Arabidopsis thaliana: one gene and its partner. The protein of the gene in region 2 purifies or fractionates together with the protein of the main gene of each other region. This does not show direct contact. Each region holds a gene or a part of one and is shown on either strand. Other genes may lie near its edges.

What was found. The genes of interacting proteins can lie anywhere in the genome.
Region 1: the proteins of AT2G31610 (region 2) and RPT2a purify together in Arabidopsis thaliana (affinity purification with mass spectrometry; 2 studies listed by BioGRID, with this or other methods). This does not show direct contact.

Annotation. Positions count from the first base shown.
Region 1 is NC_003075.7:14,310,154-14,313,907, reverse strand, and holds the start of RPT2a (regulatory particle AAA-ATPase 2A), read right to left. Parts: upstream 1,626-3,754; 5' UTR 1,540-1,625; coding exon 1,066-1,539; intron 973-1,065; coding exon 727-972; intron 411-726; coding exon 241-410; intron 161-240; coding exon 1-160. Other genes in the region: AT4G29037 (plant self-incompatibility protein S1 family protein), read right to left, coding at 1,780-2,028, 2,159-2,410; AT4G29035 (Plant self-incompatibility protein S1 family), read right to left, coding at 3,138-3,593. UniProt on the Arabidopsis thaliana protein: The 26S protease is involved in the ATP-dependent degradation of ubiquitinated proteins. The regulatory (or ATPase) complex confers ATP dependency and substrate specificity to the 26S complex.
Region 2 is NC_003071.7:13,448,145-13,451,898, forward strand, and holds the start of AT2G31610 (Ribosomal protein S3 family protein), read left to right. Parts: upstream 1-2,096; 5' UTR 2,097-2,239; coding exon 2,240-2,269; intron 2,270-2,352; coding exon 2,353-2,500; intron 2,501-2,580; coding exon 2,581-2,752; intron 2,753-3,033; coding exon 3,034-3,220; intron 3,221-3,309; coding exon 3,310-3,525; 3' UTR 3,526-3,754. Other genes in the region: AT2G31600 (INO80 complex subunit D-like protein), read right to left, coding at 397-661, 1,299-1,939.

The DNA.
Region 1 (3,754 bases), on a different chromosome or scaffold from region 2:
AATCCGTCCAGGTCGAAGCAGTGCTGGGTCAAGACTCTCGATTCTGTTTGTTGCAAGGATGACCTTAACATCTCCTCTTGAATCAAATCCATCAAGCTGGTTCAGAAGTTCCAACATAGTTCTTTGGATCTCACGTTCACCTCCTGAGTGAGCGTCATACCTGTTCTTTCAAACAACAAGTAATCAGATAACCATTATCAATGGGTTATAGATCAGGTTTATGAAAATAGTTTAACTTACCGCTTGGTACCAACAGCATCAATCTCATCTATGAAGACGATTGATGGTGAAAGGTCATCAGCAACTCTGAAAAGTTCTCTCACAAGCTTAGGACCATCTCCCAAATACTTCTGAATCAGCTCACTACCAACAACTCTCAAGAAAGTAGCTGATGTTGAATTCGCAACCGCCTAAAATAAGATCAAGTTAGAGAGCTTATTCCCATTAGATAACACCACCAAATTGCAACTATCTCATGCTTGTGACAGAGAGAAACGAGAAAGGAAGACATTAATAGAAACAAGTGACTCAAAAGATTCTTATCCATGAGAACAAATTTCTCGCTATGTTCAAACGTATGAAATCTAGGTGACCAGCAGCACAACAAAGGTCTGGCCTTTGACCGAACAAACGATTAACTGAATGTAATTGACAAGTTAAGTAGTAAACTAAGCTATACTGCAAACAAACACTAATACTCATTAGATTCTAGGTACAAAGACAAACCTTAGCAAGCAATGTCTTCCCAGTTCCAGGCTCACCATACAAAATTACACCCTTTGGTGGTTTAATACCAATATCTTCATACAACTCAGGATGAGTCAAAGGAAGCTCAACAGCTTCCTTAATCTCCTGAATCTGAGCTTCTAAACCTCCAATATCAGCATATGACTCCAAAGGAGCTTTCTCAACTTTCATCACAGACACCATTGGATCCACTTCATCTTGTAGAATCCCAACAACAGAGAGAACCTAACATAAAACAAATCAGCAACCCTAAATCCACAACAACACACAATCGTAATCACAACAAAAACAAGATTCTTAAACCCTAATTTCACATACCTTATTATGCATCAAAATCGAACATCCAGGTTCAAGCTGATCTTTATCAACGAAGGACAAAATCCCAACGTAGTACTCAGGTCCAACAGAAGAAGAAACAATAGCGTGATTCTCATCAATCAACTCTTCCAAATTCCCAACACTCATAGGTGTACCACGAAGATCATCAACCTTAGATCTATCTTCCTCAGCTTTCTCTTCCTGAGGTTTCAACCTCTCTTGATTCGCCACAAACTCTTCCTCCATCAACAAATAATCCTTGATCCGTTCCAATTTCAGTAACCGGAGCTTACACTTAGTAGACGGAGTCACCGTCGGAAGTCTCGCCGCCGCCTCTGGCCCTTTCTGCTTCCTTTGCTTCCTCCCTACACGAGCCGGTGGTGCCGCCGGCTCAAACTTCTTCTCTTTCTTATCTCCACCATCAGGTTTCCGATCTCCTTGCCGATTCAATCCTCCCGATGGTCCTTGTCCCATGATTCTTCTCTCTTCTCTCAATTTCTCTGAGTTCGAGGTTCCTTTCTTTCTCTCTTGTACTCTTGTACTGATATTTTCTGGCTTTGGGAAGAAGAAATGTTTTTTTTTTAATCTTTGACTAAGGCCCATATATAAATATTAGGCCCAAACAATAGTTGGGCTTGTAATTGAAACCAACATACAATTATTGATACCAAAGATTATACATCATGATATAATTTTTTTTAGATCTATGTGGGGTTAGACTGATGAGTCCAATTCTGATTCACTTGTAGGTGCAGACACTGGAGAGATGTTTCCAAGTTTTGATGGACCATCCCATGTATACATGAAATATTCTCCTTCGAACTTTTTGTTGCGGACATAGACTCCTTCTTCTTTTGCAGTCCATCTACATACATTAGGATGCATACCAGTACATGTACCATCTATAAAATCTTTGTCTGGACGAAACGCATCAAAAACCACATGGTGTTTGTAATTTGGTCCCTATAACAAACAAAGATGAAATAAAAAGTTGGTCAAAAATTTATAGTACAATCACTGATACTCATCTTAATTTTTATACATGACAATATGTAAAGAAATGTATAAAAAAGTTAAAAATGTGTTTTCTCACCTGCCATAAATTACACCAATACTGAGTTTTTGGATAAATTTTAAATTTAAACTGAAAACTTTCACCAATTTTAAGATATGTGATTGGGAAATTGTGAGATTTGCTCTTGCAATGAACTTTCAGTATCTTGTGAAACTCAAGTTGATTTACTATTTGGACATTGAATTTTCTGAAGAGAGGAGGCATCAAATAAGAGTTTATAGAATCAAACGAAAGGAGGATAACAAATAAACTTAGCAAAGATTTTCCCATTTTTCTAAAATCTTTCTTGTCAAATGTAAAAAAACTTATGTCAGAGGTAAATGTGTTACAATGTCTTTATATATTTGTTCATATATTTGCTAAGTTTTTCTTCTTCTTCTTCTTCTTATCCTCCTTTCCTTTTAATTCTATAAACTCTAAATTGTTGACTCCGATCTCTATATTTAATGCTTTGACTTTGTTTTCAAGAGACTATTGTCATACAATGTATTCTAGTGTCACCATTAGTACTTGTATATATGGTCATAAATAAGTTGAACGAAAACGAATCCATGATCCATACTTTCTTAGAAATGATTGACCCATGAGTCCCCCATAAATAACAAATACATAAAATCTCATACTGATAATTAATTATTAGTATATCGTGATCAAAATACATGGTTGAATTTTCTTTAATATGGATTATACTCGAATAAACTTTCAAAGATCTCTCGACTTCAACAATGAATTGAATCATGGTGAATCCCCTTTATATATCAATCTAAAACCTCTATGATGAGGTGGATTATAAAGCAGCAAACCATTGTCTTGAACAGTCCAAAAACAATTGAATCCAAGACACGATCGAAGAAAACAAAAATCTTCGATGAAAAATACAAAAAAATAAGAGAGAATTTATGACAAAAGTAAAGTATTACTTCAGTTTTTTTTGCCTGCCAAAATTAACAGATACATATAATAGTTAAAAAATTACCAACAAATCAAAAATATGTTTTCACCATCCAGATTTCCATTTCTCCGACAGTACATCTTCACCGATTGCAGAATTCCAAAGATAAAGGCCATCATTCTTTGCGGTCCAAACACAATTCTTCCAATCACATCTATGAAATAGAATAACATCATCCCAAAACACTTTTACATTCATATGACCATCATCTTTGCTCATATAGCACCAAAACAAAGTTGAGTGAAGCATATTTTCTCCAAAATTCCAAGAAAATCTATCTAAGAACTTCAGGTTAATATCACCTAGATCGTTTTCCTTAGACTTACAATGGATGAAAAGAGTTTCACCAGTGGTCAAACCGTTAGCAACCGTAACTTGCCACTCGGAAATCTTCGGGACTACGATGTCTCTCGTGGTGGTGTCGCGGGCTAAAACATGATCTTGACATGTTAAGACTAGATAAAAGCAAATTGCCAAGATAAATTGTTTGATGTAATTCATTTTTTTTCCGGGCAAGCAAAAACTTTAGGAAGAATTTTTATTGTTACTTCTTTTTATAGTGGGAAAGTGAAACGGTAATTTTGATATTATTACATCGCATTAATGAAGAGTCATGCTGCAAATCATTTACGTGATCATAGGTTAATTAGAATTGAAGCTGA
Region 2 (3,754 bases):
CCATTTCGATTTTGCATACGCTTTTCACAAGTAAATTTTAGAAATGAACAAAATTGCAACTAAACTGAAATGGACATCTCCAAATGTTAGAATGAGTTCCAACTTCCAACACACTAGTTTTTGTGCTTATGGATCTGTTATCTTCTTATTAAGCCTAATAAACTACCACTATCTAAACTACTATACCCTACCGGACACTGTAACAAAACCTCTCTTAATAGCTCAGGGCAGATAAACATCCGATACCTACACTGTAACAAAATCTGTAGACGATTAAGAGCGCAACATAATACGTTTTATGTCACTTCTTAGAATGATATAGTAAGGCAGAGATCCTCACCTTTTCCCTTCTGGGACATACACAAAAATAACTTCTGGCAACGCTAACAGCTCAACTCAGCTTGTATTTTCTTCTTTTACTACACTTTTAAGTTTACACTCCTTCTGTGGATTTTTTCGTTTCGCTTGAATATGATGCACAAACGCAGCTACTATAACATGGAGCTTTGGGGGAGGCTTGCTTGTTGAAGAGACATTATGACCAGCATCCTTTAAAGCTTTAGCCACATGCTTTTGGGCTTTCTGGAAGTGTATATTACACAGTGCAGGAACAGTCGACGCAAGTGTTGGTTTTCCACAAAGTAATGGTCCTGCTGGGGCTCTGAATGTACAATGGAAACAATGCAGAGTTAGGTGAGAATTGCTTAAATTATCATTATATGCTAATTACAAACCAGCATACAAACTTACCTATATATGAAATCTAGGTTGTAAAAACTCAAATCTGAAACTTGGTTTATGTTTTAATACTACCACAATGGGACTATTCTAACACAAATACATTTTCAAAGGGTGATATAGTTATGCTAATACTCATATCCTGACTATTTTACAAATACACATCAAAACAGACAACTTCAAGCATCTGCGTCAGTTATGTGTATCAACCAGAACAACAAAGCACATAGAGCAATATTTTAACACAAGGCAACTACTGAATCTATAAATGATTACCGACGATCACTATCTCGATGTCCAAAGCTAAGACTTCTCCCAAACCCTATGAAAAACTTTGAAAAAAAGTCAAGTGTCAATCCCAAATCCTTTCTGCAAACTTGAAAAAAAAAGAGAAACAATCTCTTGGCTCACTACATAACACAAAACAGCTTTGCAGTTTCAATTCATCATCACTACAACATCTTCACCAACTATAATATGCAAAGAACACAACTTGAAGCATCAATTACTTTGGTTTATACGAGAATTTTAAAACCAAATAAAGGGAAAGTGAAACAAACCGTTTAATGACGTTTGTGCAACCAGTGTAGAGCTTCTGCTTACTATCCTTGAGAATATGCAATTGACAGTATTTCGTAAGCGCCATAGCTTTAGCTTTGCATCCATACATACAACTCCCACAATTACTATTCGCATACTGATCACTCTTAACACCATCATTGTTAGTAACATTGTCTCCACTACCTTCAACAGCATCACCACCATCTCCGATATCTCCCTCTTGACCAAGCCTCCGTCTCTTATTCGATTGATTATTTTCGTCTTTAAACTGACTAATCCCATACTTCCACCAATAATCCCTGTGTTGTGCCTTGACATCCTCCATTAAAGCCCAATAATTGTCTCTATAACACTTGGCCAGCTGCTTCAGGTTGTGTGATCGGCGTTTGAGAAGCTCCGACCGGGTTATGTGACTGGAGCGTGCGAGGATTTCATCTTCTTGTGACATCGTAATCGGTGAATTCGATGTCGACGGTAAGCCGCTGGTGCTAGGGTTAGGATTTAAGGTAGAGTTTCGAATTAGGGGCTCGGCTGAGGTGGAAGCCACTGCGGTTGTTGATGCAGCGCCGGAGGAATACGGAGGCCGTGGTGGTTTCGAGGAGAAAGGGTTTTGCTGAATGTTCTTGGAAGCTGACGCCATTGCCGTCGTCGGAAAATGACAGAGCTTCAAAATCAGATGTTCTTGTCGGGAATGAAATTATTAATTTTTAAAAAATAATATTAGTACTTAAATTTTAAAATATATTAAAGCCCATAAAATGTCCATTGGGCTGACATATTCAACAAATAGGCCCAAACTCAATTGGATGTGAGACCTAAGTTTCTGAATTAGGTCAATATAAATACTAAAATCATATCTGATAACGAACACGAGCTTACCGATTCTCTTCGTCTCAACATTTAGGGTTTCAGAGATCGGCTGATTTTCACATCCACAAGTATGGCGACTCAAATCAGCAAGAAGAGAAAGGTGAATTGTGATTTCATTTTTTGTTTTCAGTGGACTTCTCTAGCTGTATCGTATTGGAACTGATCTGGTTACTGTGTTTGTAGTTTGTAGCGGATGGTGTATTCTACGCTGAATTGAATGAGGTTCTCACAAGAGAGCTAGCAGAGGATGGTTACTCTGGTGTTGAGGTTAGGGTTACTCCAATGAGGACTGAGATTATCATCAGAGCTACTCGTACTCAGAATGTTCTTGGTATGTTTGTTTGATCATTTCTTCTCTCTTTCGATTTTGAATGTGTTTCGAGATCTGATATCGAAAATGTTGGGTTTTAGGTGAGAAGGGGAGGAGAATTAGGGAATTGACATCTCTTGTCCAGAAGAGATTCAAGTTTCCAGTTGACAGTGTTGAGCTCTATGCTGAGAAGGTTAACAACAGAGGTCTCTGTGCCATTGCTCAGGCTGAGTCTCTACGTTACAAGCTTCTCGGTGGTCTTGCTGTTCGCAGGTACGACATTTCTCTAGTATGTTTTTGTGTATTCTCTCTCAATTGCTGTTGTTATTGTTTAGCTTACTTGGTCCTAATAGTGAAATGTATAGGATACAACTGTAATTATATTTCTCAGTGGGGTTTCTGTAAATGCGCACTCTTTATAGATTTTGTGTAATAGTTATGTTTCTATCTACTGAACACACTGATGATACATAATGTGTCGACAAGGCTATTGCATCTCTTTTTTCACTTGAACTTCTCATCCTTAATATTGCAATGGTATATTTGATATACAGGGCCTGTTATGGTGTTTTGAGATTTGTTATGGAGAGTGGAGCTAAGGGATGTGAGGTCATCGTGAGTGGAAAGCTCCGTGCTGCACGTGCTAAGTCCATGAAGTTCAAGGATGGTTACATGGTTTCATCTGGTCAACCAACTAAGGAATACATCGATGCTGCAGTGAGACATGTTTTGCTCAGACAGGTATGCTTTCTAATGAGTCTCTTATCTACCATTTAGTGAGTAAGTATACCGGCTTTGTCTAATCTTGTTGGTTCAATCCGTATTTGCAGGGGGTGTTGGGAATCAAGGTGAAGATCATGCTTGACTGGGACCCTACGGGCAAATCAGGACCAAAGACACCATTGCCTGATGTTGTGATCATTCATGCTCCTAAAGATGATGTTGTCTACTCTGCACCTGCTCAGGCTGCTGCTCCAGTTACTCTTGTGCAAGAAGCTCCACTCACAACCGTAGATTACCCTGAGATGATTCCTCCAGTGGCCTAGAGAAGACCTTTTTTACTATTACTCCATGGGATTTTGTTCTTTTTGTTATAACTTTTCTACTTTTGACACTCTCTAGTCGTATCTCTTATATCCTCCAAGCAGACAAGTTTTTTCTCATGTTGTTTCTTAACCTATGTCAAGTTTTCTGGAGGTTGAATGCTTTTAGTTCCATGATTTTTTTGTTCTTAAGACTCGTAATAAGAAAAAGAATGACGACAACAATGCCTGG